Callithrix jacchus: one gene and its partner. The protein of the gene in region 2 interacts with the protein of the main gene of each other region in a pairwise test. Links are inferred from orthologs where the notes say so. Each region holds a gene or a part of one and is shown on either strand. Other genes may lie near its edges.

Region 1 (4,755 bases), on a different chromosome or scaffold from region 2:
AATCTGTATGAAGTAACATATGCTCAAAACACTATTGTAAGCACAGCTTCCATCCTGAAGATGCTGACGAACACTCTTTGATAAATTTTACTCGAGAATTTAGAAACCCAGCTAACTGAAGTACAGCCTTTTTTCATTTCTGTCCTAAGAGACATATTTGTACTTTTTTTGGTCTTGGGCCTCGAAAAGAATATCCCATGAAGGAAGCCAAGAGGCACATCCTTTCTTGAAACCAGAGACAATAAAGGAAATGATTCTCTAACAGCCCAGCCAATAAAGTACAGTTCAATAAAGGTCAATCTGACCTGAAAATCCCAGATCAGGGTTTTTCCTCTTCTTTTTCCTCTCCCATCTTTCCGCATCTTCTGCACTGATCTCCAGCAACTTCACTTTCTCATAATCTTCTCCTCTTGCTGCACATTCCTAAATAGAAGAAAAAAGCTAATACCTCCAATTATGATACAAGCAGTAATTTCACTTACTTTAAATCAAGAAAGATCCAATAAATATCAAGCAACACTTTAACAGTGTTTTTTTATTTTGAGACGGAGTTTCACTCGCTGTCTCCTAGGCTGAATTGCAGTGGTGCACTCTTAGCTCACAGCAACCTCCACCTCCCAGGTTCAAGGAATTCTCATCCCTCAGCCTCCCAAGTAGCTGGGACTACAGGAACATGCTGCCATGCCTGGCTAATTTTTGCATTTTTAGTAAAGACGGGGTTTTGCCATGTTGGCCAGGCTGGTCTCAAATTCCTGACCTCATGTGATCCAACTGCCTTGGCCTCCCAAAGTGCTAGGATTACAGGCGTGAGCCACCGTGCCCGGCCCTTCCTTTAAGTATTACTAAATATTATTAAAGGGGCCGGGTACGGTGGCTCACGCCTGTAATCCCAGCACTTTGGGAGGCCGAGGCGAGTGGATCACAAAGTCAAGAGATCGAGACCATCATGGTCAACATGGTGAAACCCCATCTCTACTAAAAATACAAAAAATTAGCTGAGCATGGTGGCATGTGCCTGTAATCCCAGCTACTCAGGAGGCTGAGGCAGGAGAATTGCCTGAACCCAGAAGGCGGAGGTTGCGGTGAGCCGAGATCGCGCCATTGCACTCCAGCCTGGGTAACAAGAGCGAAACTCCGTCTCAAAAAAAGAATAAATAAATAATTTAAAAAATAATAATATTTAAAGGAAATTTGGGAATATACTATGGTATATAAGTGAGCACATGATACTTACTGAGTATTTATCAGGTATCAGACCTTGTTTTAAATGTTTTACATGCATTAATTCACTTAATTCATAATTAACTCAAATAATTATTGCTATAGTCCCCGTTTTATTGATGAGAAAACAGAAGTACAGAGATGTCAAATAAACTCACCTAAGATGTTGCAGTTGGTAACAAGCAGAGCCAGAATTTCATTCTGGCAGCTTGGCCTAAGAGCAAGTGTATTCAACCACTATGTTGTAGTGTCTTGATATAACAGAATGACTAAATAAATCACTTATGAATATAGAATAGTTCCTAACCTTTTTCTTTTCTTCTTCTTGCAGTTCCCACTCCAAACGAGCTTTTTTGGCTTCCCAATTTGCAGGTAATTTTAGTCTTTTATCTTCTTCCACAACTTCTTGGTGATTTAATTTACGAGCTTCATTCTAAAATTGTAACGTAAGAAGTGTGTCAGCTAAAACATGAAAATAAATCCAGATACATCTTACCTGCTTTGAAGAGGATCAAGCAAGACATATCATAAGGTGACCCTATTTATCCTAAAAGCAATAGAGAGCAATCATGGGATCTTAAGCTAGGGAATAGGCTAATAGGGTCTACATTTTTATGCAGTCAAGAAAAATGTGTTGAGTTGCACTGGTTTGCTGTTCCAGAGCACTAGAGGCTAAAATCAGCTTTGCCTCTATGAGTTGTGTGATCTCTTTTTTTTGCATCAGAACAAGGTTTCGAAATATGGGAGAACCATACTATAGTGGCACTTAAGTAGACTTTATTGGGCATTTAATAATATTAAATTGGCAGGGTGAGGTGGCTCACGCCTCTAATCCTAGTACTTTGGGAGGCTGAGGCAGGCGGACTGCTTGAGGTCAAGAGTTCAAGACCAGCCTGGCCAACATGGCAAAATATCATCTCTACTAAAAATACATAATTAGCTGGGCATGGTGGCACATGCCTGTAATCCCAGCTACTCAGGAGGCTAAAGCAGGAGAATCACTTGAACCCAGGAGGCAGAGCTTAAGGTGAGCCAAGATCACACCACTGCACTCTAGCCTGAGTGACAGAGCAAAACTCCATCTCAAAAAAAAAAAAAAGAAAAGAATTACAGCACATGCTGTGAAAGACACTCTAATTTCAATTCTTTTTTTGGAGACAGAGTCTCACTCTGTCACCAAAGCCGGAGTGTAGTGAGTGGCACCATCTCAACTCATTTCAACTTTTGCCTCTGGGGTTCAGACAAGTCTCATGCCTCAGCCTCCCAAGTAGCTGGGATTACAAGCATGTGCCACAATGCCTGGCTTATTTTTTATATGATCCCAATGTGCTGCCACCGGATACAGCTTTCATCTCAGATGATCCCGTTCTGTGGGTCTGTCAGATGCAGTGGTGTGGCTTCCTCGCCCCCTCTACAAAAGCGCCTGGCCCTGGCCAAGTGACCGATCTGAGCCGGCCTCCAAGACTACTCACCCGCTTCAGGTGCAGCTCCCGGAATTTGCGCAGTCTCTGTTCGCGCTTCTGAGCGGCCAACTCCGCCGCCGCAGCAAAGGACCCCTCCTCCACGCTGTCCACCAGCACCTGCGGCGAGGAGAATTGGCTTCAGGCAGAGCCGGCTCGGCTTCTCCCCGGACGGCCCAGGCCGAGTCCCCGCCGGCCCCGACAGGCTGGGCCTAGGGCCTAGACCGCCGACTCGACCCCACAGTGTCTGCGCCGACCTGAAGCAAAACTAGACTTCGCCTCCACCTCTCTCCCAGGCCGCTCCCCGCAACCCTCACCAACAAAACCCCCGGTGTGGGGTCGTCTAACTCACCTCGGATGCAGCAACAGCCGCCATCGCAACCTCTCTTCCCACTTCCGGCAACAATACAGAGCACTTCCGTCAACCTTCAGGCAACCAGGCCGATACGTAATGAAGACTACCATAAGCCCCGCCCCTTCCGGGCGGCCTCCGGAAGTTGGAACCGTTTTCGCTGTGGAATGTTTTCGATTGTGCAGGGTCTTGCGCCGCTGCGGAAAGCAACTGGGGCAAGGACGGGGAGATGAGTCGTCAAGAAAAGTGTTGGGAACAGCTCAGAATCGGACAGCTAGGAAGAAATGACCAAAAGGACCCTGGTAGAAAATCATCTACTCTGCACGCTGTTCCTGGAAACCGCCTTTGCAAAGACAGTGAGAGAAATCTAACGTGGCTAACTCCATCTTGCTTCTAGCCTCGCAGGCTGGCTGTCTTCGCTCATTCCTGGGCATAAGCCAAGCTAAATATGGGAGAATTTATAGTTTAACTTTTAAGCAAGGATGATCATAGTCCCTCCCTTAAACGGGCCCCCTCCCTATTCAGGGGCTGAAACTGCCTGTGTATAACTAATGAAAGAGGAGGCTAGGAATCCGAGAGGGCCCTGAATTCTGCTAAAATGTAGTTGAATGATAACCAGCTATTGTTTCGGAGGACATCGGATGTGTAACTTATCCAATTACTCCTGTAGTTAACGTCCTTATTGTAGAACTTAAGACTGGTTTTTTGTTTTTGTTGTTGTTTTTTAAGACGGGGTTTCACCATGTTGGTTAGGCAGGTCTTGAACTCCCGACCTCAGGTGATCCGCCCGCCCTGGCCTCCAAAGTGCTTGAATTACAGACGTGAGCCACCACGCCCGGCCAAGATTGGTCTTTTGAGGCATTCTTCAGACTTTCTCATTCTGTCAACTAACTGACCCCACCCAGACTCGTGTCTCATAACCCAATCGGTTCATCTGCCCCACTCCTCCACCCAGAGGCGGACTCACGGTGCTGCTGAATGGGTGGCATCTCCAACCAGTCAGCCGCACCCATTCCCTAGTGTCCTGCTCACAGCAAACTCTGAAAACCCTAACCTCTGAGCTGAGCCTTCCGGAAAACACTTGAGTGGTAACTTCCTCCCTGAGGCCAGCCTCACGTTAATACAACTCTACTGCAGTAGCATTTAGTATAGTGCTAAGCACTAAGCACTTAGTGAATTGGTTTTGTCAGCCCTGGGCCGGGAAAACCTGGGTGGGATTCATTCCCATGAGTAGAAATTTCTTTCCATTTAGAGCTTAGCCTATTGTCACCTCCAAGAAGCAGGTCTTGGCCAGATGTGGTGGTTCATGGCTGCAATCCCAGCACTGGGGGGCCGAGGGCGGAGGATTTTTGAGCCCAGGAGTTCAAGACCAGCCTGGACAACAACGTGAAAGTCAGTCTCTAAATTTAAAAATAATAAAAATAAATTTTTTTAAAAATGGCCTGGCGCAGTGGCTTACGCCTGTTAATTCCAGCACTTTGGGAGGCCAAGGCGGTAAATCACGAGGTCAGGAGACCAGCCTGACCAACATGGCGAAACCCCGCTTTACTAAAAATACAAAAAATTAAAAAAAAAAAAAAAACAGCCGAGTGTGGTGGCAGGCGACTGTAATCCCAACTACTAGGGAGGGTGAGGCAGGAGAATTGCTTGAAGTCGGGAGGCAGAGGTTGCAGTGAGCCGAGATCCTGCCATTGCACTCCATCCTGGGCAATAAGAGCAAGA
Region 2 (4,964 bases):
TCTTGATTCATTCCTGTCCTTCTGGCCTCTGAGAGCCTTTCTCCCAGTTACCTTCTCATGACCCAGTTATTTCCTTCACTGAACTAATCACCATCTGTAATTATCTGTTTTGTTTATTTTTTTGGTCTTTCTTCTCACTGTTAGAATGCATAAGCTCTATAATGGACCTTTTGTTGTATGTATATGTGTTGTATGTATAATGTGTGTGTATACATTTAGTTCAATTCCAGCTTAACACCACTGGGACCTCAACATAAATTAAATGATACCTGCTTTCAAAGTGAATAAAAGGACATGGGCAAATACACAACTAGGCGCAGGTTAGCTGTTGTGTTATAAGCAACTGTGCTTGAAGCATAATTAGCTAACCCCAAGACAGAAAGCAGCATATTCTTAGAATCCATCAGTAACGCATTATTAAGACCAAACTCTTCCAAAGACTTGGGAGTAAGCTATGTTTCTGTTCTTTTCCAGTTGGCGTTTTTTAACATCCCCTTGATGGCTTACATATGTTGGAGCTTGCTGCAGCGGTGCTTTGGTCACAACTTCAGGTCTCATCTCCATCAAAGAAAATACTTAAAAATTATGCCAGTTCACCTACTTATGCTGCTGCTGTACATCTGGCAGGTTTATTCCTGCTACTTTCTTTATGCAACATACGGCACCCTAGCTTTTTTATTCTCCCCTTTGCGGACTTGGTTGACATTGTCGACACCTGTTCTCATTCGTTGTGTGTGGACACTGAACCCCACCAAGCTTGGAATCTTCATGGTGCAGTTAAAAAGCCACCTGAACTCCTGAAGGCCATGTCTCACCACTGGCAGCTGGGCAGAAGCCCAGCCTTTGTGTATGTAGCCCAGGCTTCCACCCCGGTAGTAGGTGGAAGGCCAGTATTAGTGGGTGAGTTTAGGGAGCTGCTGCTCCTTGGACTCCTGGATGTTGGAGGGATTACCCACTACTGATAACCTGCAGAGTGGACTGCAGAAAAGTCTCAAAAATGATGCTTTTATTCCTTCCCTCCCCAAGGAGGTAAAGGGTTGATTTACTATGGTGAAGAGAAAACCCTCATCTAGGACACCCACAGGGTAGGGGTTGGGTGTGTGTGTATGGGAGTATCTGAGACCCAGTGTGTTTTTTATGGCTACCCCATATAAAGCATCTACCGCTGTGCTTAGAATTCAGCAGCTGTCAAAGGCGCAGTTTCAGGGACAGGGAACCTGTGAGGATCTGGATCCGACCCCGACTACCTCTGAGATACGAGTTCCCTGGTCTATTTTCCCACAGGATTGCGGGCTCTCTGGTTCCTTAGTCGGAAGTGTTTTCAACTAATTATATAAATGAATGAATGATGAATAATAAATACCTTGGGCCGGAGCCTTCTTGTGTGGCGGGGCCTCTGGGGCGAGAGAAGGCGTGGCCTAGCCTGGCGTCTGAGAATGGAATGGGTGGTACACGACCTCTGGGAGCCGGGCGGGGTGGGGCGGGAGGAGGAGGCGGGGCCTGGCCTGGTGTCTGAGAATGGAATGGAAGGTACGGGACCTCTGGGATCCGGGTCGGGTGGGGCAAGAGGAGGCGGGGCCGGGTCTCTGGGGCGGGGCGGGGCGGCTTGTTGCCGGAAAGGAGTCCCAGACGCAGCGACCCGGAAGTAGAGCGGCTGTCACAGTGCGACTCCCGCTGCGGCGGCAGAGGCCTGTGTTTGCGGCCTTCTGCGAGCGACGAGGATGGCGAGCGCAGGGGCACCTGCAACCGCAGTCCCCACCTTGGCTCCGCCTTTGGAGCAGCTCCGGCACTTGGCAGTGGAGCTGCGGTTGCTCCTGCCTCGAGTGCGGGGTGAGCTTACGGAGTGGGAACGGGCGACGGCAGGGGCGGGCTCGGGGTCTGGGAGAGGCCGGGCTCCGGGTCGGGTAGAGGCCGGGCTCGGGCGAGGGAGGTGGCTCCGCTTACCTCAGCTTTTCTATTTGCCACCGTTCGGCCCCCCAACGCCACACCCACCAGTCGGCGAAGCCCAGGAGACTACTGAGGAGTTTAATCGAGAGATGTTTTGGAGAAGACTCAGTGAGTGCGCCTTCTGTCCGGGCTCCCCTGCCTCAGCTTCTCTAGCGTTCCAACCCCTTTCCCTCCTACTCCCCACCGCGGGAGGTGACTGCCCTCCCCCGCTGCATCCTTTCTGTGGGATGCCTTATCCACCTCGGCACCTGAGGGAGTGAAATAGAATTCTAACATCGACATTGGGAGATGTTTTTGAGAAGTCTCGGTCGGTAAGGGAACGCGCTTCTTCCAAGTCCGTGCAGCACTAACATATTGGCACCTGCCTCTCCCTCTGCCACCCCCCAGATGAGACAGCTGTGATGGTGTCAAGGGAAGCCACGACTCTGACCACAGTCTTCTCTCAGTTTCCACTGCCATCTCCACAGGTGGGCTTCACTTTCCTGGAGTCCTTGTGCTGCTGAGTTACACATTTAGGAATCCTCTCATTTTCTTTCCACCTTTTACATGCATGCCAGATTTATCTTCATCTGTCCAATGAGGTTACAGTTTTTCCTTCACCCGATTATGTGAAGACCAAATTGCAAAGTGCAGTTCCTGACGCGGAGTAGGCAGGTCTTCTAAATATTGATTCAATCAGAAGTTCACCCTGGTTGTTTTCCTTTCCGATAATTTTTTAAGCACTTTTTATTTGCTGGGTGTTTTCACATACTTGATGGCCATCAGACAGATGAGCAAGCAGGCTCAGATGCACAGGTTAAGATTTTTTTAAAAACCAAGGGAGGTAGGATTTATATCAAGATCTACCTGATGTCTAAGCTATACTTATTCTGTTATACTACATAATAACCTTTTTATATTGAATTTTTTTATATTTAAGCAGTAACATGTAGACAGTATAAAATTCAAAAGAGATCAAAGTAAAGTATACTAAAAGTTTATCTTCCCACCCACTTTCTCATTTTTGTCTCCCCCAGTTCCTTTTGCATTATTCCACATATATTCTGTGCATATATACATTCATGTACATTTATCTGTATATGTCAGCTTCTTTTTACACAAATGATAAGATACCATAAACACTGTTTGGGACCTTTCTTTATAGAAATTGACAATATGTCTTGGAAATCAACTCTTAGCAGTACCTATAAAGTTGCTCAGTTCTTTGTCATGACTGCATGGTATTCAATAGAGTAGATATAAACATAATTTAAGCAGTACTATATGTGGACATTTAAGCTGTTTCCAAATTACAATTACTGCAAACAGTTCTGTGATGAATTACCTAATTCTGTTTATGTGTGTATATAAGGAGAAAAAAAATCCCAGAAGTGGAATTGCTAGAACAAAGAATTTATGCATTTTAAGTATTCCTTTGTGATAAAACTAATGAAAGTAAACATGTTGGCTATGACCAGCTATGCTCTATGCTCAGTTTTTCTAGAGCTGTGTATCCTTAATATGGGAGTAAGATTCTTGTAAAATGGCATATTCATTGCTTTATTTGATTTTCAGTCAATAGTTTCAATTTTATCAGTCTATATATACAGGTGTTTGGAAAGAATATAAATATCTTCTGCTATGTGTACCTACAATGATAAACTCTCTCCCCCTATATACCTTTGAGTTTTGTTTGTTTGTTTGTTTGAGACAGTCTCACTCTGTCTCTGAGTCTGGAGTGCAGTGGCAAGATCTTGGCTCACTGCAACCTCCACCTCCCGAGTTCAAGCAATTCTCCTGCCTCAGCCTCTTAAGTAGCTGGGATTACAGGTGCCCACCGCCATGCCCGGCTAATTTTTGTATTTTTAGTAGAGACAGGGTTTCATTATGTTGGCCAAGCTGTTCTCATACTCCTGACCTCAGGTGATTCACATGCCTCAGCCTCCCAAAGTGCTGGGATTACAGGTGTGAGCCACTGTGCCTGGCTTACCTTTGAGATCTGCAACAAGGAAACGAGATGATTTGTATGAGAGCACTTTAAAAGATCATGGAAATAGACTACTTATTTCAAAAAGAGTAGTTAATATTATTTTTCTTATCTGCTAACCTGTTTCTTTCAAATACACTTGGGATTTGTTGCTAAAACTCACTGCAAGTAAGATACCATGAGGAGGCAGCATAGAACTGATTTTCTATACATGCTCAGGATAGTAGTTATACTCATAGATGAAAAATTAGAATATGGATTTATTTGAAATATGTACAAATATTCATGTATATAAATATATTCAAATTGTATATACATGTATGTATACACACACACACATATATATACACATGAATCATCATTGTCTTCTTGGGATCTCACCACTTTAGTCCTACTAAAAGATGAGTTTTTTTAAAATTTCAATCTGTATGGATTGATACTTTAATAAAATTATGTGCTTGGATGTTGAAGAAATGTCAAATTGCCATAAAAGTTTCTAAACACTCTCAGTCACTGTCCTTATCTCATCCCTGACTGGTCACAAACAGTTTGTAGACTGGCACCAATCTGGACCACATTTGCATAGTATTGACTTGGAATTTAACAGAAAATTGAGGACAAGGAAGATGAGAAAGCCAGTGACCACTTAGAAGGAAAATAGTCAACATGGAGCATTGTTGAGTACATGCTAGTACCTTTGGTTACATATTGTGATTCTGTTGAGAGAGAGAGATTAATGGACTAATATAGAGGCTGGTCCATCAGTTGTTCTGTCTCTCTCTCTCTCTTTTCTGTAAAGGACCAGTTAGTAAATACTTTAGACTTTGTAACCAGCTACCCAACTCTGCCCTTGTAGAGCAAACACAACTACAGACATTTAAACTAATGAGCATGGCTGTGTCCCAATACACTTTATTTACAAAAACAGGCAGTGGGGCCTGAGTTGGCCTGTGGACCACAGTTTGCCAACTGCTGGTCTAAGATATCATGAATATCTTTGGACACAGAGTATCAGGAATAAGTTTTTCCTGCTGTTTCGTAATGGTTTATC

What was found. The genes of interacting proteins can lie anywhere in the genome.
Region 1: the proteins of CCNDBP1 (region 2) and SYF2 interact in binary tests that used the Homo sapiens proteins (3 or more experiments, as listed by UniProt). The link is inferred for Callithrix jacchus from reciprocal best matches to the Homo sapiens genes CCNDBP1 and SYF2.

The regions. Positions count from the first base shown.
Region 1 is NC_133508.1:61,950,382-61,955,136, forward strand, and holds the start of SYF2 (pre-mRNA-splicing factor SYF2), read right to left. Parts: upstream 3,091-4,755; 5' UTR 3,058-3,090; coding exon 3,034-3,057; intron 2,802-3,033; coding exon 2,694-2,801; intron 1,655-2,693; coding exon 1,529-1,654; intron 424-1,528; coding exon 306-423; intron 1-305. UniProt on the Homo sapiens protein: Involved in pre-mRNA splicing as component of the spliceosome.
Region 2 is NC_133509.1:30,923,937-30,928,900, forward strand, and holds the start of CCNDBP1 (cyclin-D1-binding protein 1), read left to right. Parts: upstream 1-1,656; 5' UTR 1,657-1,721; coding exon 1,722-1,830; intron 1,831-1,995; coding exon 1,996-2,055; intron 2,056-2,334; coding exon 2,335-2,414; intron 2,415-4,964. Other genes in the region: TMEM62 (transmembrane protein 62), read left to right, coding at 475-801. UniProt on the Homo sapiens protein: May negatively regulate cell cycle progression. May act at least in part via inhibition of the cyclin-D1/CDK4 complex, thereby preventing phosphorylation of RB1 and blocking E2F-dependent transcription.